Diceros bicornis minor: one gene and its partner. The protein of the gene in region 2 interacts with the protein of the main gene of each other region in a pairwise test. Links are inferred from orthologs where the notes say so. Each region holds a gene or a part of one and is shown on either strand. Other genes may lie near its edges.

Region 1 (10,719 bases), on a different chromosome or scaffold from region 2:
GCTTAGAGGCTTCCTGTGTACACCCAGCTGGTGATGGGGCCAGGCCGACCATCCACCCAAAGCTCCCACCCCTGGATCAGCTAGCCTTGAAGGGAGAGGAGGTTCAGGACTTTGCAATCAACACAATGAAATCTTCCCTCCTAGAAAGAGCTCATCCGAGAGAAGCCGGGGCTGAGGCCATCCTAGGGAAAGAAATGGGGTCCTCAGTGCTGCCTGCCACCAGGGCCTCTAGTGACCCCCGCCCCCAGCCTTTCATACCAACGACCATGATGTTGAAGTCGAAACCAGTCTTCATGGTCTTCTTGCGCATCTGCTCGATGATGGTGTCGATGCCAATGTAGCCCAGCAGGTTGGAGTTGATGCTGACAGGCTTCATGGGCACTGCCGGCTTAGGCCTGGGCTCAGGCACCAGCTCTGACATGGCTGCGTCCGTCCTGGTCTCTGGGAGCCCTGTAAAGCCAAGATAGGAGGAGTGGGTTAGAGGAAAGCAGAGGTCACATGGAAGCCACAGTATTATTCTCTTGATCAGAATCATACAGAGTTGGACCAGAAGGGACCTTAGATGTCATCCAGTACAGGTCCCTCATTTCATAGATGAAAAGACTGAGGCTTAGAGAGGAAAGGGTTCTTAGGACCTGCTTAAGAACACAGCAAGTCAGATGCAAAATCTGGACCAGTACCCAGATTCTCCAGTTGCTGGGGAAATTCAAATGTACCTCATTGCTACAAAGCACCACATCTGTATGTCTGATCCAGGGGTTTCTCCACCTTGGCGCTATTGACATTTTGGGCTAGATAATTATTGTGGGGGGCTCTCCTGTGCACCACAGGATGTTTACTGGCATCCCTGGCCTCCAGTAGATGCCAGTAGTAGCCCCCCAGTTGTGACAAACAAAAATATCTCCAGACAGTGCCAAATGTCACCTAAGGGCAACACTGCCCCAGTAGAGAACTACTGGTCTAAGAGATGTCTGGGGTTATTCTCACCTGAGTCCTGCCTCCCCAAATAAAGGGCAAAGACCTTTTAGGATACTGGACCTAACATCTATGGACTGTCTGCCACTGACTTCAGTTGCTTTGTCTTTCAGAAGCAAATAGGGCTACCCACTCTCTGCAGAGTGAGCACCACTCCTGTCTCCCAGCCTCAGTGTCCCCTCTGTTCCATGAGCACTGAGGCAAACTAGGGGTGTCTGGGCCCTGAGGAACCCCAGACACCCTCCTAGCCATAGTTTTAAATCTATGGGAGGAATAAGTCTCACCTTTTGACCAGGAGAGAGAGGATAAGCCCCATATAGGGGCAGTCACTTGCCTAAGATGACATAGTGTATCTTGGATGGTGGGTGGCAGAACAAAGGGGAGGCTGAGGGAAAGGCCCCCCCTGGGTCTAGCAGATCATGGGTATGTTCACACACAAGAGAAATCTGTGCGATTCCTCATCAGGACACTGTCCACCAGGGTGAGTTTCAGGATAGAGCATCCATTTCCCCACCCACAAAATGAGTGTGTGTCGAAAGTGGAAAGAGCCTGCCTCCACTACTTGCCAGCTTTGTGGACTTGGACGAACCACCTCCCCGCTCTGAGCCTGCTTCCTCATCTGTAAAATGGTTAGGATGATGATGAAGGCTGTGGTGAGCATTACATGAGGTACGATGCCTGGAAGCACCCAGCACAGCGCCTCACACTTCCAGACCCTCTTGCCTCTCCCCCTTTCACGTTTACGGGCTTGTCAGGAGGGGAAGTGAAGCAAAGCATGTGAAAACACTTGTTAGAGGGAGGTGCCCCGGATGCTAATTACACAGCGTAGTTATTGGACTCACGATCTCTTGAGGACCCCTTCCAGTGCTGCCATTCTAAAATCCTATGGTTCATGGTTACGGCCCTGCAGAGTCTCGAGCTTACAGGGAGGATTGATGGAGCAGCAGATGGGCAAGAGGGAGAGGGGACAGGAGTACCTCCCTCCCCCACCCCCAAACCCAGCCAGAAGTCTGTTCTTATACCCCTGCCACCTGGTCTTTCCACCAGTCCTGGCAAGACTCTCTCCCCCAATGGGAAACTGTTCTGTCCTTGTCACTCCCAGGCACAGCCAAATCTGACAAAGCCTCGGGATCTCCCCAGGGCCTGGCGTGGCTCCCTCCTGCTTCCCAGGAAGCTGTTGCCAGACGGCAGCAAGATTGGCTCAGCCCCGCAGCAGCTGACTCTCAGCAGCCCAGCCTGCTCCTCCACTCTCCGCACGTGGCTCCTGGGCCCCACTCAGCACACCTGCAATGGGGGCCAGCAATGCCCCATATTCCCTGCACAGCTGCTGACACGGCTGGCCCTTTCCATGTCCCCCCGTGCCTCTACAGCCAAGCCCATTTGGTCTCCACAACCTGTGTTGTGAGATAGATCCATCTAAGTGTGTGTTTGTGGGGGGGGGGGGGGGGTCTTACCCCATTTTATAGCCCTGGAAAGTGAATCTTGTACTTAATTAAGGGAGTTTTTGTAAGTATTCTTATAAAGCGTGTGTCCTCCCTGGCCCGTCAACTGCAGCATTCTAAAAGATCATTCCCAAAAGACAGACCCTGGTTGCGAGAAGGGGCCTGCCCACCAGATTCCCAGGCAACTTCTAGGGGCCCCAGCAGGCCTGCTGCAGGTCCAGGACATGAGCCATCTTACCTTCATTCTTCCAGCAGGCACCTACTGGCATCCATGTGCACACAGTATAAAGCATCTGCTGGCAAGTCGCCCCTCCCAACCATATGCCAATTACATGCCAGTCACATGCTAACAGCCACCACTCATCAGCCACAAGTCCTGCAAACATGCGGCGGGTCACTATGTCCCAGCCTTTGCTGGAAGACCCTTTGCCCACTCCAGCCCCTGACTAACTCCTACTCTTCACCACTCAGCCCAAGTACCACCCCTCAGGAAAGCCTCTGCTTTCATGTCTGATGTGGACGCCCCTCTTCTGTGCTGCCTTGGCCCCCTGAGTACCTTGGTACTCAATAAATTCATTCATCCATTCATTCATTCATTCATTCCATCCCATCCAGGCCATTTCATATGCTGTCAAATGGGAGCCTAATCCAGCCAAACCCCAGACTAAATGCCAAGGACACTTGTGGACCCTAGACAAGGTCCTTGCCCCCAAGGTCCCACTGACAAGTACACAAAGACATCCAGGGCCCAGGACAAATGCTGCTCTGGAGTTGATTGTGTGGCTCCATCCTCTGCCCCCACAGCTCCTCTGCTCCCACCATGCCATCCTCAAATGGGCAGCTGACCCAGGCTTGACTGCTGGCTAGGTGACCCCTATAAGCCTCAGTTTTCTCCTCAGGACAATGTGGATAGTACCTACCTTGCTGGATTGCTGTGAAGGTGATACAAAAGCACGGACATAAATTACCTGGCATTGAACATATGCTAGTTCCCAGCCTTCTTCAGGGCAGAGGCCACGTCTCATTGATCTCTGTGCCCCAATGTACCTAGCGTAACAGAGGCACTCAGCAATGAATGAATGAATGAATGAATGCCTCATAGGGAGGCAGATGTCATTTTAGACCCATCATCTTTCTCCTCCCTCAGATGCTGAGCCCTTTGCAGAGCAGCTGACCCCCAGCCAGCAAACTGCTCTCGTGTAGGACACAGCTAAGGCGGTAGACTCTGTTAAGAGAGACCTTCTCCCTCCCCTGCAACAGGGATTGGAGGGGTGCTCCCCAAGTGGGGAAGAGCTCAGGATGGGATCACAGCAGGATGTAGCTCAAGTATGCCATCCTGGATAGATGCTTCCAGCTCTCCCAGAGCCCCTGGAGAGGAGGTGATCTGTTTGCAGCATCCCCTGCCAGGAGCCACCTGCCCCATCAGTGCTCCAGGGAGAGGCACTGTCCCCCTGACTCAGCTCTGGCTGAGTCCCCCACAGAAATAGCACCCCTCCATCCCCATGCCAAGCAAGGCCCCCGGTGCTATGTTTCATAAGTAAATGAATGGCTTTGTCTTTGTCTAGCCCAGGAACCCCACCCCTCAGTTGGGAAGGTGGCAGCAGGGGGAGGAACCTTTCCAGAATAGCACCTGCCTCCGTGGCTTAGTGGGGGTGGGACGGTGGGGAGGTTCTTCCTTCCTAAGCCGGAGATCCTCCCCAGCCCCCAGCCCCTAGCAGCCTTCAAGACCCCGCCCCCACAAGCAAAGGCAATTCCAGTCCACCCCAGCTCCAGCTCTGGCTCTCAGAAAAAGAATCACAAAAGATATCTTATTCCTTTCCCATTCGCAGGAGCAAAGGGCCCTGGGACACCTCCTTCCCCCATCCCAGTCCTCCGGAGGCCAAGGAGTTCCCTTGGAGACCACCAGCTGGTGCCTGTCTCAGTGTGCGCCTGTCTGTGTGGGGGAAGGGGTCTGTGTCAGAGCACAGGTCCCTCGTCTGGCGGTAGGCCCTGATACCTGTGCGTGGTGTGCATGTGTGTGCGTGTCTTGGTGTGCTCCAGCATGGGTCTTTCTGCGCGCATCTGGGTCCATGCTTGCGTGTCCGTAGGTCTCTGTATCTCCCCATTTGCCCGTGTGTGCATTTCTGCGGGCATGTATATCCTGGAATGTGTGCCACCGTGTGTGCGTGTGTCCGTGCCTATGTCACCGCGCGTGGGCTCCTTGGCGCAGCAACCCTCCCCCTGGTAGCACCTCCAGCCGGGCTTTTCCGGGCCGCAGCCTCCTCCCGGCGGTCGCCGGTGGCCGAGCCGGCCGCCCTACCTTTGGACATGAATCCTTCTTTGTCTCCGTTCCTCCGGGAAGATGCTCAGGGAGCGAGGCTTCAAGGCTGCGCGGGGCGCGGACTCCTCCTGGGCCGAGCGGCCCCTGCAGCCGGGCCTCGCCCCTTGGCGCTCTCCGCTCACCCGCCCCGCCCGCCGCCCGGCCGCGCCGCCCCTGCGCCCCGCGCCGCCGCGCCCGCTCGGGACCTCGCCTCCGCTCGCTCGGCGCCGCGCTGCCCCTGCCCGCGCGCACCGATGCCGCCGCCGCCCCCGCCGCCGCTGCTGCCACCCGCACCACGTGACCCGCGCGCCCGCCGGCCCCGCCGAGGGCCCCTCCCCCGCCCGCGCCCGCGCCCGCACCCGCTCCCTGCCCGTCCGCACGCCGGAGCCGGCCCCCGGTCCTGGCTGCGGGCGGCCGGGGAGGCGCGCGGGGGCGCTGTGCCTGCAGGCTCGGGATGCCGGGCCGGGGAAAGCGCCCGCATCCCAACCTGGTCCCTCCCGCTGGATCCTGCTCCCAGCCTCTTACCCCTTAGGCTGGGGCGGAGCGGGGGTCGCAGGGGACCGCCGGCAGCAGCGGGCGGCGATGCGCGCGCGAGTCACGCGCTGATTGGGATGTTGGCGCTGGCTCAGCGCGGTCCTGTCCCGGCGCGGGCGGCTGTAGAGCCCTGAGTCAGGGGACCGGGTTCCAGGCCTGGCTCCGGGAATGATGAGCCCTGTGACCTTGAGCTTGGTCAGGAACTTTCCTGAGCCTCAATTTACCCATCAGAAAAATCTTTCATGCAGTTAGTCAACAATAATGGACAGCATATTGCCAGGCCCTGGGGGGACAGGGATGAGGACCACCATCCTCATCCACAAAGGGCTCTAGGTCTAACCAGAGAGACAGCAAGCTGGACTGTCCTAATGCAGTGGGGTGGGGTAGGCAGGGGGTACTGTGAGTGCAGGGAGGTGGGCATCCTGGGAAGAGAGGCATTTGGGCAGATTTCTTGGAGGATGTGAGGGACAAGATGGAAAGGCAAATACAGAGATGAGAGAGAAGAAGGGAAGGGCACTCTGTGGAGAGGGGGCAGCAGGGGTGAGGAGACCCAGAGGTGAGAGCTGCAGGGTGTGAGTGGACAACTCAGAGCTCCTGGTGCAGCTGAAGCAGGGAAAATTCCAAACAGGGATATAGAGCTAAGAGTTTGGAGAAGTCCGAAGCCTTAGAAGCCAGGCTAAGGACTTGGGCTTTAAGGAAAGACAATGGTGAGTCACCAACGGCCGTGAAGCCGAAAGTGCTGCCATCAAATATGTGGGTCCTTGTGGCAGCTGTGTGGATGAGGGAGAGCACTGGGGGAAATGCGGGGGGGGGGAGGCTGTGGAAACACTGGACAGAGGGATGGCGAGGAGGAAACAGACAGCCAAGCACTGAGGAGGTGAATCAACAGACTTGCAAATAGACTGGATGAGATGAGGAGCGAGTAAGATGAGGAAGAGGATACCCAGGTATCTGGTGTGGCGGTGCCTGCAGCTGAGAGGGCGAGATCAGGAAGGCAGGAGTCAGTTCAGAGAGAAAAGGGCTGCCTCTGGACATGCTCAAGAGACATCTGGGTGGAGGGTCCAGCAGGCTGCTAGCTGTCCACATTTGCATTTCAGGAGAGGGGTCTGGGCTGAAGATGGAGGGAGAGCTGAGGTTGCTGAGGGAGAAGTGAAGACCAGAGCCTGGGGGAGCTCCCCCAGACAGTGTGCAGAGTGCAATGCACAGGAGTCTGACAACCCAAGACCCAATTAAGGCATTGGACTGGATGCCTTCCAAGCATCTACCAGATCCAGAATCTCTGAGCCTTTGAAATGTCGGGAATGAGACTGCCCAAAGTAGAATTCCAAGACCTGGGTTCCCATTAGCTTACTGCCACCAACAAGCTGTGTGACTTTAGACATGTCACAGCCTCTCTGAGACCAAATGAACTTGTAGCCCTTGTGTTGACCTATTTATAGTTCTATGGAGGATTTTCACATCTCCCAGTCTCCAACTCACCTTTCAGGACTAAAGGGCTGGGGGTAGAGGCCCAAGAAAGAGAATTCCAGGTCAGGCACCTTTTACACGCAACAACTATTTTCCCAAAATACTGAATGTGCGTGATTTAGCAGGTCTCAGGTGAGGTCACTGTTGACATCCAGAGGAGTGCTGCAGGGATGTCTTTTAGACAAATCACCACTTACTGAGGTGCTGGTCTGTGTTTTAATGGAGATGGTTTGCTTTTAAAGCTGGACTCACCTATAGATCACCTGATCGTTCCTGCTCTTCGGGGAACAAAGAAACAACCATGGAAGATACTAAAAGAATGAGCATGGGGCCAGCCCCATGGCTTAGCGGTTAAGTGCGCCGCTCCGCTACTGGCGGCCGGGGTTCAGATCCTGGGCGCGCACCGACACACCGCTTTTCCGGCCATGCTGAGGCCGCGTCCCACATACAGCACCTAGAAGGATGTGCAACTATGACATACAACTATCTACTGGGGCTTTGGGGAGAAAAAGGTAGGAGAATTGGCAATAGATGTTAGCTCAGAGCCGGTCTCCCTCAGCAAAAAGAGGAGGATTAGCATGGATGTTAGCTCAGGGCTGATCTTCCTCACAAAAAAAAAAAAAATGAGCATAATTGCTCCTCCACAAGTTACCCCATAAACCTTCATTCTGGTAGCTTCCCTCAATCTGACCTCAAGCTGGCAGGTTGAGACCCAGCTCAGGGTGTATCCCGTGTTCTGTCCCTCAACCCTGTTCCCTTTTCCCCCAGTGCATTTGACTCTGAAGACTCTGAACCTTGAGTTCCCCCTCCCTTTCCAATTGATCCAAGCATAATCCATCTCCAGGCCCATAACCGCCACCCCCACCCCCCCATCCCCCCACAGCAGCCCAGTGCATCCCCAGCCAAGCTCTTTGCATTTACCTTTGGTTTCTCTGGCCAGGTCCAGTGTGGCGGGCTCTGTGGCCCAGTCTGTGGCAGCATCTGCTGTCGCATGGTCCAGGGCTGGTGCTATGCTTCTGCTTGGCATCAGTGTGTAGGTGGCTGATGTGGTCAGGTTAATGACACTGTCCAGTGTGGTCTCCCCAGTGGCTGGGTCTGGAGTGACTGGCACAACCAAACTCATGGCTGTACCCAGCTTCCTTGTGTCCAGAGCAAGAGAATCCGTAGTTATGTCCAACTTGGCTGTATTTGCTCTAGCCAAAGCCATGGCTGTGTCTGGCCTGGCTGTGTCCACCTTGACTGGGTCTGGTGCTGCCAAATGCACAGCTGTGCCCCCTGTGGTTGTATCTGGCTTGGCTGTGCCTGCTGTAGCTATGACTTTGCCCAGCTTGCCTGGCTCTGGGGTTACCAAGTCCGTGACCATGCCCGGCTTGGTTGTGCCTGCTGTAGCCAAGGCGATGGCTGTGCCCAGTTTGGTATCCAGAGCAGGGAACTCCATGCCTGTGTCCAGTCTGGATGTGTTTGGTGTGGCCAAATTGATAGCCAAGCTAGGTCTGTTGGTGGCCATTGTAGCTAAATGTCTGGCTGTGCCTGACCTCACTGTGTCCAGAGTAGCCAAATCCACGGCCGTCGCAGGCCCCATGGTGGGGGTGGCCCTTTGGAGATGCAGCCGGGGTCTCGGGATACCCCTGGACCGGGGCTTGCCTCTTCCTGGGGAAGCTCTGGTAGGCACATGGGCACTTGTTGGGACAGGGTGCCTCTGAACCACCGAGCCTGACCCTGAAGGGCCTAGAGGATTCTGGGCTAACCGGGATTGGAATGGTAGGGCCAGGTAGGAACTCACTAGGGGCTTCTCCACTATGGGCATCCTACTGGGTTTGGCCAGACCTGGGTTCCCTGGGCCTTCAGAGTGGACTCTGCCCCCTGGCACTAAGGTCACGGACCGTGAGCCTGGAGTGGACAGCCTCCCTCCTCCATGAGTGGCAGCCTCCCTGCCCAGGGTGGGCAACTCTTCCCAGTGAGAGGGTAGGGGGCCCAGGGACCATGCCTGGCTGTTCTGACGGAGCGTTAAGGAGATGGAGCTGAGCTTCCTGGGCCCAAGGCTATTACCAGTCTCCTGTGGGGACACACTCCGGGCTCTGGCTCCAAGGCCCGGTCGGCTGGAAGTCTGTGGGATGTGGCTTTGGGGGAAGGCATCCAGACGGATGGTCTTCCTGAGGACAGGGATGAGGGGGGACACCCCTCCAGGGAGCTTTGAGGGGTGGGCAGGACGCCCCAGTAGGTGGTTGCGGGAGATGGAGTTTCCAGGGCTGGAGGGTCTGTGAGGCTGCATCTCAAAATCGTGGTCCATCCAGGTCTTTCGTCTTCCCCTGAGGAATCAACAGAGAAGGGCCCACGCAGGGGTGAGGTGCTCAGTTTGCATTTCTTTGATTCCTAGTTAATAAAAAGCATGACAACTTCTTTGCTAAGTAGCAAATTCATTTTTACTTGTCAGTGTTTGCCAGGGTCTTGTAAAATAAGTCATTATTTTAAAAGGCAAAATATTTAAATCATATGAAATGTTATACAGTAATTGTTCATTAGGGCATAATTTATTATTTTAATATTATAAAGCCTCTAAGTTATGAAATAGTTTTTAAAATTGAGGTTCACTTGATAATTTTAAAAATTGCTAAATATATGTATATAAAAGCTTAATTTCTAAATGTAATTTTTAACAATGAGAAAACAGACAATATATCAGGATATAAAATTGTGGGATCCTCAATGGCTTGAGTTTTATACTAGTTATCAAAAACACAAATGCCTAGAGGTGCAAAAAAAAAAAGCACTGCCAAGTCTGAAGGGGCCTTGTTCAAGGGACCCTGGAGGAGGGTGGTGGTTATTGGAAGCCTGTCTGCCTCTGTCTCTTCCAGAAGGGGCTAGAAGGCTCTGGGTTCCCACCCACAGCAGCCAAAATAGGAGTTCAGGCATCCAGGTAGGAGGCTAAGGGATGACCAGTTTGGCTTGGGAACAGGGTCTGCGTTTGGGGCTCCTACCCAGAACCAGGAAAGAGCCCTGGGCTGGCCTGCTGCTGGAGCCAGAAGGAGAGCCAGAATCAGGGCCAGAGCTGAAGAGGGCTCTGGAGAAGGGGAGGCTGGGGAAGTGGAGTAACAAGTGTTCGCAGGAGGAGACTTGTCCAATGGACACCACAGTCCTTGCCCCTGGGGACCCGGCCAGGTGGTGAAGCAGGCAGGACTACGCCGGGGGCAGGGAGCATTGAGGGGAAGCATTAACTCAGTCTTTGGTGTCAAAAGAGAGAGAGGCTGGGCCTGGGGCTGGGGTAATTCACATGGCAGGCCCAAAAGTGAGGAAGTGTGGCATCCTTCTGAAAATCCACCGTGGGCTCCTAGGCTGTATCAGGGGTGAGGGGGAGACAAGGCCACAGGTGCACTGCAGCCCAGGCCAGGCCACAACGATGCTCAGGCCCTGGAAGATGACCTGGTTGCATCTGCAAGTGGGAACGGTCCTCCGGGGCAGTGTGAAAGAAGGATCAGAGGGGCACAGAAGTGAAGCAAGGAGAGTGGTGCGGACACTCTTGAAACACTCTGTGGCCGGGGTGGTCCTGGAGAAGGCGGCGCAGCACTGGGGTAGATACAATGAGCCACCTGGAGCTGAGGAGAGAAGCGGCCTGCGGACTCTGGCTGGTGGTCTGTGGGGATGAGCCATTCCCGAGAGGGGCTCCAGGGCCCCAAGATGACCAGCTGGTGTGCACCCTGGGCTCCATATAATTTACTGGTTGGAACAAAGTTGTTTCTGTTGCTTTCAACATAGCAGGCTGGGAAATGATGCTTCGAGGGCCGGGCCAGGGCTAGCGGGAGGGATTCGTGGGAGAGGGGAGATGACCCTGTAGCCAGGTCCCTAAGGTCTGGAGCAGGGGGTCTGCATCATCCCTCACAGTGCCGTCCCAGCCCCTCATCCCTCTCCAGCCACATACTTGTACCCAAGACTGTGCCAGCCTCCATCACCTCCCCACTTGACATGTCCCTGCAGCCCTGACCTCCTGCCCTTATTCTCAACCAC
Region 2 (11,025 bases):
CTCACATCATCCTAGCTTACTCTCAGTTGCCTTTGGTCTAAAAATGCTTCTTGAACCTTAATGTTCATACTAATCATCTGGGAACTTTTTTTTTTTTTAATTTTATTTATTTATTTCCCCCAACGCCCCAGTAGATAGTTGTATGTCATAGCTGCACATCCTTCTAGTTGCTGTATGTGGGACGCAGCCTCAGCATGGCGGGAGAAGTGGTGTGTCGGTGCGCGACCGGGATCCAAACCCCGGCCGCCAGCAGCGGAGCGCACACACTTAACTGCTAAGCCATGGGGCCGGCCCTCATCTGGGAACTTTTTAAATATGCTGATTAAATCTCCCGGATTCAGGTTTGGGTGGGGTCAGAGATCTGCATTTAACCAGCTCTCATGTCACGTTGATGCTTCTGGTCTGAGACTGTTTTCTGTGGTAAAGGTCTACAATTCATTCATCATTTGGAGGACTGCTGAACCACAACTGGCCTCATTTCACTCTTCTCAGTATCCTCTGAAATGATGCCCATTTTACAGATTGGCAGCAGGCTTAGAAAGGTGAAGGGATGCCAGACAACTGCCACAAAACACTAAAGTGAATGCTAGAGCCAGGCTTCTAGACCATTCTTTCTCAATAAGCCTTGTTTTTTTTCAATTAAAAGAAGCTCAGGTCTAAAAAAAGTCTCATTTGCCTAATGACATAAGTCATATGCTCCATTATCTTTATTAGTAGTAATGGTGATATTTGACCCCCCCCCCCAACATCAGCTCTGGTCCAATCCTTTACCAGTGGTTCTCAAGCTTGAGTGTGCACCAGAAGCGCCTGGAGAGCTTGTTAAAATGTCGCTGAGCCCAACCCTCAGCATTTCTGATTCAGTTAAGTCAAGGGTGGAGCCCAAGAATATGCATTTCTAATGAGTTTCCAGGTGATGTTGATGCTTCCAGTTCAGGGACCACACTTTACTACTGCTCTAGGAATACAATGGATGGAAGACGGAGAAGGGGGGAGATTAATCTCCCTTACTTAGTACTACTGTTATTTTTAAAATTAGAGGGTACAGCCTCTTCCCCTTACATTCGTATGCCCTTCAAATGTCGGGACTATGTTAAAGGCAGCATCCCTGACTGTAGGAAACCGTTCATTTGTTTTGATGAGATGATGTTGTCCCTATATAACCTCTATCTTAGGCCGGTAGTTAGAGTGTAATATATTTCAGTAGCAATTTGACAGCAAGTCTGCTTAAAGTAGATTAAAAACCAGTTAGTAGAATGTTGAAATAAACCTCATATCAGCAAGAGCTGAGCTTCATTATCTAACTGAAGAGGGCAGATAATTAGAATCATGATATTGAATGTGATGCTCACCCTGAGACGGGGGAAAAACCTTTACAATTAGGATTATAAAAACTTCCTCTTTAATCAAGGCTTTAAATGGAACAGAATTCTTGAATAAAATGGAAAGTTTCCAATACATTGAAACAAATCACCATACATAGAACACCTGGCAGAAAAAAAAACAAAACAGCAAGTTTACACAATCCCTGTAACAGCCATGGTCTTATTCTCAGATGCTTCCTCCATCAACCAAGTGTGTTCTGCTGGATACAGAGCTCACATGGCTTCTGGGGTCACACTCAGCTGAGGCTGTAGCCCAAAAAGCATTCATCTGGCTGGGCCGTGGTACTGTTGGCTCTGCTCAAGAAGCAAAGCAGTCACCAGCACATTCAAACAGTGTATTGAACATCCTTGAAATATCAAAGTGAGAAACAAGAAGGCAACATAATAATGTTATCAGAAAGATGTTAGCAAGTGAGGACAGCTGTGTAAAGCTTGAGGCTGAAAAGCAGCTCGCCAGCTTCATTTCTTTGGCTTCTTCGGGAGCGGCCGCCGGAACAGCAAGATGTGAGGTTCTGAAAGAGTGAGTGGAATCTCAGAGACAAGCTCACATCATTCTATGCACAACCTACAGTGTATCCCACTCCCACCTCCCAGCTATCACCCACTCAGATCTTTCTAACTAAATTAAGATTTAAGCATATGGCCTTAGAAGCAGACCCAGCAGCCTGGCCTGTCTGCCAAGTACAGAATTGTTAATATCAGCTCTTTTGCTATGTTTGTCCAGCCCCGGGGTGTCCTTTATTAGTTTTGCCTGGCAGCTTAGTGTCTGGTGTCTTATCAATAAATATACTTTCCTTGGCTTATTTTGGAACACATCCAAGAATTTGCTTTCTGATGGAGAATGAAGCAGGAGCCATAACCTCTACCAGGGTATATGTGGCCTTAAAAAAAAAAAAAAAAAAAAAAGAGTACCCTCTAACTGAATTAGAGATTAAAGGAGGTTTTTCAGTGACAGGTTGTCTCTGAACTTTGCAGATACTTCACTCTTATTCTTATTTTTGGTCACTCCAGTTTTTCTAGCTGGCTGATGGGGTAAGGAACCAGGAAACCACCCTCCCCTTCCCACTATTCCTTTGGGTTATGCGATCTTATCATCCCTTCATTCTCTCAGTGAAGCAGTCCTACATGTTTGCTTTCAGCCTTTGCACTGACCTGGTTCATGGATCATATAATGAACCCATCCCTGACTCTGTTGAACGCCCAGATTCCTCCATTCCGATTCCGACATCAAATGGGTTTTAGGGACCAGCTTGGCTATGTCCTTGGGCAACATGACATGCCTGTAATAGAAACATGGGAAGGTGGGGAAATTGTGTCAGTACTGGGTACAGTCTGTTAGACAAGGGCCTGCATACAAAGCCAAGAGGGGAAAGAAAAGAGAAACCGGTTTCTGATGGCAAAGAGTTTATATAATCTTATTGTGGGGTAGAGGCAGCTAGAAGTAAAGGCCAAGTTATGTAAATCCTCACAAAAGTATATTAACAAGTACAACCTAATGAATAACCCAAGTGAACAAGCACCTGAGTTCCAGGCATGTTGATACACTGCCTCTGCCTTCTCAGGGCTTACAGTCTTCCAGTTGATTACCCTAAAACAATATAATGGGAGCCCCACAGCACACACACTATTAATTATTAAAGGTGGTTTGGAACAGGATTGGTAAGGAGGGGAGAGAGGTGATTTTGTGGACAAGAAAGGCCTATTATGGAGTGCTGTGTGGAACAGCCATCACAAAGGATGAAACACAAATGTCTTATCCTTTAAAATATATCCTGAATCTCATTTTCCTAACTCTGAAGGGATGTGCCATGAGACGTCTTTTGGGAAACTCCATGTTCCCCCAACCAAGATAAGTCTTCTTTCATGGCAAAGAAATTATTACCCTGACTTCAATCAGGCTAACCCAGATCAACTTCATCACGCTCAGTGAAAATTTACTAAATGCACTCTCTGTGCTAGTAACAGACATTTTTCCAAAGAGATAATTCTAGTCTAAATGTCTGAAAATAGCTTATATTCTAACAAGCCCCTGGCACAAAGTTTGGCTTCAATACCTAATTAGACCAAGGGGAAAAAAAAAACAAAACAGAAAACAACTTTCTTAAGCCAAAATACCACTGCCAAGACTTACATCTTCCAGAGGATCAAACTAGTGACTTCTCCCTAGTCCTGCAAAGATGTTATAGGCAGTTTTAGTTAGCTTAGCTCAGATGTAGAGGAAAACAGCTGAGGAAGACAGTTAACTGGATCCAAGCAGAGCCTGGGGTCTTTTCCCAAGGACCTGGCATAAAGATGGTTATGTATCTGTCAGCACACACCGAGTTCTCCCTGCATTATGTTGGAGAAGAAACACAAGAAAAGCAATTTCCATTCTATGTTCTTCAGTTGAGAAGATACAAACTAGGAAGTTGTTTAAAGTATTACACCTAATACAGGTTAGTGGAATGACAACATTTCTAGAATTTTTGTCTTCTCTAATTTTCCAATCTAGAATTATGGATTTAGGATTTATCAAATGCAAACTCCATAGGGATTCCTTTCTTCACCATCCTTGGCCAAGTCCTATCTCTACCATAGGTGCTCCCATCTCTATCATACCAATTATCACTTTTTTCTGAAGTCTGTCAGTATTTCACAGATTTGTAGGTTTGTTGAAAGCAGAGACCATGGCTTACCCTTGCACTTTAGCAGAACACCTGAAACCTATAAGCACTCCATAATTGTTTCCTAAATAGATGCCCTTCAAATATTTGAAGGGCATGTATTAGGTTCATGTTAAGTCTTTTTTCAATGTTCCTGGCCAGTTTTATTCCACTCCAATTCCTCCAAGCTCCTTTCCTAAAACAAGCCAGACAACTACGTCCCTTTTCCATGAATTAATGAGCAGCACTCAGGCTCTCTCAGAACTCCCCTCGCATTGAAGACGCGAGGAAAATTCGAGCTCCGCCTTTGCCACCTTTTCCCAGTAGGCTCTAAGGTTCTATGGTGTTGCCGTGATACGAGCAGTCAGGGCAAGTTCAACTTGCTCAATAAAGTTGAAGGTTCCAGAAACCCGCAAAGGTGAAGGTGGTCAGCAAGCTAACACTCTAACCACGCCCACCTACACCTCCTCCCAACAGGGTCGACTCCAAATTCACTACCACTTTGTTTCTTTTACAATCACCGCCCACCCTTCGCGCATGCGCCTTACGCTCTCAACTATCACGCCCGTCCCGTTAACCTCCGCGCATGCGCCGATTCTGTCGCTTCAGTCCCTGTTACTAACTCCTTGGGTCCTCATTTGTCAAAACTCACGACCTCGTTATGGCCCCCCGCCAGCACTAACCGGTATTCGAACTCCTCGTCGTCGTATTTGTCCGAATAGTAAATTTGTTTGTGCGACATGATCACTCTGCCTGAAGACCGCCAGCTCCGCGCCGCCAACCTCCAAACAACTCCCAGCAGCACGCGCTCCCACCCTCCTTGGCCTCGCTTTCAAACACGCCGCTCGCGCTTCCTATTGGCCCCTTTGGCTTAAGGCGGGACAAGTCCACCTTCAAGCCTCCGATTGGCTTGGATTTGCTTCTCCTCGAGTCCTTATTGGAGTGCACTTCTTACGTTTCTCAAGAACGAGCGTAGCTCAAAAATAGGCCTCTTATTGGCTGTCGCTGCTCCCGTGCGCGTTCTCGCGCTGCCATTGGCTGATTCGGGAAAGTGGGACGGGTGAAGGAGGGACGGTGAGGTAGAGGGTCAGGGGTTAGTGAGGCCGGAAGTGAGTGCAATAAAGTTTCTCCAGGGAGGCCAGGCCCGGGGAGAAAGTTGGAGCGGCGACCTAAAGAGGCAGTGGCGTGATCCGGCACCAAATCTGCCCGCGGTGCGGTGCGGAGACTCCATGAGGCCCTGGTGAGTTGGGACTTTTTTTTCTCTTTTGATGACCCACTCCTCCACCCCGGAACCCCTCTCCGGGGACCCTACTTCCGGTCTTCATCTATAAGTCCCGCCCCCAAGACCCCCTCTCCGGAAGTCCCACCTCCCAACTTCAGGGGGCTCCCCGAATCCCCACTTGTTTTATATTTATTGTCTCGGACCCCACCCTGTCACCCAGTTTTCCTGGAAGTCCCACCCCCAGACACGCTTCCAAGGCCTACTACAAGAAGCCTTACGTTAGTCCTTCCAACTCCCCGAAACTCCGCCTCCTCGCGACGATTCTCCGCTAACTCCTATCAAAAAGCCTATCTCCCAAAAGCGCAAAACCCTGCCCCTCACAGAACTACTGTATTCGAATTCGTGAAGCCACGCCTCCCTATGGGCGCCGCCCCTCTAGAAGCCCCGCCCCTTCCTCAATCTACATCTGATTGTCCAGAAGCCTCGTCTCCTAGAAGTGTCTGATGCACGCGTGCTAGGGGACCACGCCCCCTCAGGAGCTTTATCCCTGTGGGACCCAGGTCACGCCTTAGAAGCTTTGTCTTCAATCCCAGAAGCTCCACCTGTTTCTCTTTTGGGCATTGGGCTCAGTTTCCTGAGCTCTCATGCTCCACCGCGTGGGAAGTCAAAGTTCCCAACGCTGGCTCTGAGGAGTGCGAGATTAGAGGCAGCCGTTTTCCTCTCCCTTACCCCCTTCCAAGGCTGGACCTACTTGAAGGGGGCTGGACTTGGGGTTTGGCAAGAGAGTGGGAGAGAGACTTGCTCATAGATTCCCAGCCCCACTCTGAGTTTCCCTTCCCAGGACTGACTCCACCCCAGAAACAGCTGTGTCTCATACCTGTACCTCGGGAGCTGGGTGGGGCCATGGATTTGCTGGTGTGTGACGGGAGCGAAAGTTTTCTACCACCAGAAAACGGTAGCTTGGAGTGGGTGTAGGGGACAGTGTCCTTTTTTGCTGTTTGATTCTTTTAAGGGACTCCTCAGCCCCCACCACTTCTCTGGCTCTTCCCCTTCTCCTAACCAGAGTTATTGTCTGGGCATTCCTCCTGGTCCCGCTTACCCAGCCTTCCCTTCTGGAAACATTCCTGAGGCTTTCGCCATTTCCTGCTACTTCCCACTGCTCTTGCCTCCTCCTCCCTGCTGGGCTGAGAAGCCACACGCAGCTTCTGCCCCTCACCCAATCACTGGGACTCCCAGTAGGCAATCTCCTTTTTTCCTATGCAAATGTTAGGAGCCCTACTTCCTCTTTCTTTTCTTCCAAATACCCACACCTGTTGGCCATTCCCTGCCTCTAGATCCTGCAGGCTCCCACAGAACGCCAATCTCTAAAGATGAGGACATCCTGGTGTGTGTGAGTTGAGGGTGTGAGCCTATGGCAGAATCCTTTCTTCATTCTCTCTGTCCCTGAGCGCAGAGGCCTTAGGAAAAGCAGTGATAGAATTCCTTCTCAGGAGTGGTAGATGGAGTGACAAAACTCTCCTTGGATGAGGACCAAGGGGAGCTGAAAGAGTTTAGCACAGTGTCTAACACGTTTTAAGTGCTAGTAGTGGCAATCACTATAATCTTATGATTATTTGTGAATTTTTATCTTCTGAAGTAAATCTAAGAGTAGAGTAATTCCGAGGTGAGCCTGGGAGGTAAATGTATTTTTTACTATTTATTTTTTGGTTACTTTCCAACTTCCTCCATGGCCCCTTGAAGCAGAGCTGTGGCAGGAAGTGTGGGTGGAAGGAATGAGTTTGGGACTGTTCCCTGTGTCCAGCATCAGCCCATCTTCTCCTGTCACCCTTTTCTCCCGTACTTAGCATAGATTTGTCTTCTGTCCCCTCTATCCCTTCATGGCCTGTAGCACCCACTTCTCTTGGAGAACTGTTTCACTTTCCCACCTCCTCTGGCCAGATCCTGCCCCTGATGTGAGGGGCACTGTGCTCTATGGTGGACACCTGCACCCTCCCCAGTCACACTACAGGAGGAGTGTGAGCATACCTGGCAAGTCCAGGGAGCTGAGCTTAGTGTCAGTGCCCTGCCCACCCCCCCACCTCCCTTCTACCCTTGACAGCTTGCTTTGCTAATGAGGCTTGTGGAAAGGAGGGACAGAAGAGTGCTTGGCCGTGGGCCGCTGCTCCTTGGCATGGTAGGTGCCATGCATAGAGAACAAGGCTCCCTCAGCCTGTCCTCTGCTCCAGCTCCTGCCTGGTGGCTCCCTGATGCACCGCCCAGGTTGGATGTTATTTTCCTTACTTCACCAGCTTTGCCCTTCCTCTTGGCCCCTCTGCATCCGCTGGGACCACTTCCTTCCTTTCCCGTTTCTTTAGCTCCAGTCCACAGCTGTTGTAACAGAGGATGCTAATGGCCCAGGCTCCCTGGGGCCACCACCCCACTGTGTGGTAGTGGTGGGGGGTGGCCTGGGCTGGAGGATGGGGGAATTTGAGTGTTCAACCAGGATAGGAAGGGAAATGCTGAGCTCAGGGATCCCCTCCCTTTTCCACCCCCAGCTGTCTCTGTTTCCTCCCTCATTCCCCTCTACCCTCCCTCAGCTTCCTGCTCCCTTTGGCCTGCCCATGTCCGGTTTGGATTGATCTAGACCTCCTCTTATCTCCCTCCTTTCCTTTCACTCCTCCGTCCTTCCCTCCCACACCCACTCCCACTTTACTCCTCCCCAGATTACTAATTGTTTGTATGGGGCAGGGGGGCATGGAGAGTTCTACCCCTGCAAGGGTTCTAGGTTGGGGCACTGGTGGGGGCTCAGCCCCTCGGAGCCTGTGAGTCAGCACTGTCCTCGGGATTGGTCTCTCCCCTTAGCTCCCCGCCCCTGGGGAGGAGCCAGGCAGCTCTAGGTCCAGCCTGGTCTCTCTCCTCTCAGCCAGAGAAGAGGCTCCACGCTGGGCATAGATGGGGCCTGAAACTGTCTGGGTCTGAGCGGGGGAGCCAGAGCCACTCGTCCCTCTCCCTTCCCAGGACCCCTGAGATCTCTGGGCCATAGAGGTCCGATCAGGCTAAAGGCCTGGGGATGCCCCCTGCCTGGCCCCCTTGCCCTGACTGGCAGGGGGGCCGGGCTGGGCAGCAGCCTCCCTCTCACTCCAGCCATGGATCTCCTGCCCCCCAAGCCCAAGTACAACCCACTTCGGAATGAGTCTCTGTCATCGCTGGAGGAGGGGGCTTCAGGGTCCACCCCACCGGAGGAGCTGCCTTCCCCATCAGCCTCATCCCTGGGGCCCATCCTGCCACCTCTGCCTGGAGACGATAGTCCCACTACCCTGTGCTCCTTCTTCCCCCGGATGAGCAACTTGAAGCTGGCCAATCCGGCTGGGGGGCGCCCGGGGCCCAAGGGGGAGCCAGGAAGGGCAGCCGAGGATGGGGAGGGGATCTTAGGGGCAGCCATGCCGGACTCAGGCCCCCTGCCCCTCCTCCAGGACATGAACAAGCTGAGTGGAGGCGGCGGGCGCAGGACTCGGGTGGAAGGGGGCCAGCTGGGGGGCGAGGAGTGGACCCGCCACGGGAGCTTTGTCAATAAGCCCACGCGGGGCTGGCTGCATCCCAACGACAAAGTCATGGGACCGGGGGTTTCCTACTTGGTTCGGGTGAGTGAACATCTTCCCTCCTACTCCCTCCCAGACCCCTGCAGTTCCTCTGCTCACTTCAGCAAAGCTGGAGTCTTTTTTTCCTGCTCTCCCCCAACAACTCCCTTGGTTTCAGTGTCCTGTTTGTTAAACCTTTCTTGCCCCTCCTCCAATTCTGTAGTCCCTTCCTTTCCAGCTCTGCCTGGGCCCCCTTCCTTCTTGTGACTCTCCCACCCCCGCCCTGCCATGCTTAGCACAATGCCCAGCACATTGAAGGCCTTAGTAAGTGTTGGAATGAGTGACTCTTGATTGTCCCCTCCAGTCTCCTCCCCCTTTCTGGAGATGTCACTCCATCCCACCTAATGCCTGTCACTCCCCTCCAAATTCTCTTCCCAGATGCATGAGGTCCTCCTAGCCTGCCCTTTCCTTTTCCCCTCATTCCCTGTTGTCTTGCATGTTGTGGGATGTAGCCACGGGCAGTGGGCAGAACTTCATCTTTACTTCCCTTAGGGACAACGTAGGGGAAAGTCCTAGGGCCCTTTGAAGGGGTTGGGGGGAGGCGGCTGACTTGTTATCCTCCCATCCGTCCCCTCAGTACATGGGCTGTGTGGAGGTCCTGCAGTCAATGCGTGCCCTAGACTTCAACACCCGGACTCAGGTCACCAGGTTAGTGGGGGGCGGGGGGGGGCGGATTATGGAAGTCCTGGGATTAGTGCGGGGAGGTGGGAAGTGGGTCACTTGGTGGTGGTGCTAGTGATGGCTTATCTTAGGGTGGTAAAGGGGAGTGAGAGAAAGTTAGGGGAGTAAGTCTAAGTCTGAATGAAAAGAGGCAACTCTGGCCTGGATCCTCCTTACTTATCCAGCCTGGGGAGCTGTGGGGGAGGTGGCAGAGGCAGCTGGCAGCTGGAGCTTGAGTAGAAAATGGGGGTAGATGGAAGGTTGCTGCTGCCTTTGGGAAGGGAATGGGACATTTGGTAGCTGGAAAGGGGTGGGGCCATACCCATTGAGGCCCTAACCCAATCAGCCAGGAAGCGGCCTCTCAGTGTCATCAAATATTAAAGGCCCTTAATTCAATCCACCACGACAGAGAGCCTGGAGTGCCCTGGGAGTCTGGCCTGGTCTTCCCCTCCCCCAGCCCTGGGGCAGCCCCAGCCAAGTGGAGGCAAGCCTGGGTCTGAGTACCCCTCTTTCCCCAGGGAGGCCATCAGTCTGGTGTGTGAGGCTGTGCCGGGTGCTAAGGGGGCCACAAGGAGGAGAAAGGTACCTGGGGTCGATGGGCTAGCGGTGCTGCTGGGAGATGTGGAGGAGCAGGGGAAAGCAGGTGGGGGGCAGGATTGTGGTGGTCTCTTGGTGTTGGGAACCCCCAGCTTCTAAGACCCTTGGGCCCTTCCCTAGCCCTGTAGCCGCCCGCTCAGCTCCATCCTGGGGAGGAGTAACCTGAAATTTGCTGGAATGCCAATCACTCTCACCGTCTCCACCAGCAGCCTCAACCTCATGGCCGCAGACTGCAAACAGGTTGGTGGGGTTGGGCAGGGGGACCAGAAATACTGATGGGAGGGCTAAGCAGGGACCTGGCTATGAGGACAAGAAATGGGGAGAGAGGGCTTGGGTGCAGCAGGACAGTAGGGAAGAAGGAAATTAGGAGGACATGGGGTAAGAAGCCAAAAGAATGAGATTGTGCCTCCAGGGCTCTGGGCCAGGGATGGGGGGCACCCAGATGGTCCCTGAGGCTGCCTGACACGTGTCATTCCTTTCCTTTTGTACCCCCTGCCCTAACCCTCAGATCATTGCCAACCACCACATGCAATCTATCTCGTTTGCGTCCGGCGGGGACCCGGTGAGTTGGGGAACAGAGCAGAGGTGGTGGGAAAATAAAGGGCCAGGCATCGGGAAGACACTGGCTAGAGAAGTGGGCATGCTAGGATTGGGGTGATATCTGAAAAGGCCTCGGTTTTAGGGGTCAGGAGTGAGATGGGGCTGTAAGATTTAACTAACTGTCGTCTTCTGATTCTGTCCACCCCAGGACACAGCCGAGTATGTTGCCTATGTTGCCAAAGACCCGGTCAATCAGAGAGGTGAGGCGTGGTGGGGAGCACTGGGTGGGTCTGGCTGTCCATGAGGCAGGTAAGCAGGACCCCGGGAGCTAAGCAGGGGCTCCTGCCAAGGAGGACGAGGGCTCA

What was found.
Region 1: the proteins of CKS1B (region 2) and SEPTIN3 interact in binary tests that used the Homo sapiens proteins (3 or more experiments, as listed by UniProt). The two-hybrid records come from large-scale screens. The link is inferred for Diceros bicornis minor from reciprocal best matches to the Homo sapiens genes CKS1B and SEPTIN3.

What each region holds. Positions count from the first base shown.
Region 1 is NC_080764.1:8,559,870-8,570,588, forward strand, and holds the start of SEPTIN3 (neuronal-specific septin-3), read right to left. Parts: upstream 4,957-10,719; 5' UTR 4,727-4,956; coding exon 4,717-4,726; intron 451-4,716; coding exon 259-450; intron 1-258. UniProt on the Homo sapiens protein: Filament-forming cytoskeletal GTPase. May play a role in cytokinesis.
Region 2 is NC_080743.1:58,915,979-58,927,003, reverse strand, and holds CKS1B (cyclin-dependent kinases regulatory subunit 1), read right to left. Parts: upstream 4,828-11,025; 5' UTR 4,767-4,827; coding exon 4,708-4,766; intron 2,663-4,707; coding exon 2,535-2,662; intron 1,895-2,534; coding exon 1,842-1,894; 3' UTR 1,383-1,841; downstream 1-1,382. Other genes in the region: SHC1 (SHC-transforming protein 1), read left to right, coding at 8,372-8,866, 9,441-9,511, 10,042-10,105, 10,241-10,360, 10,629-10,682, 10,869-10,920.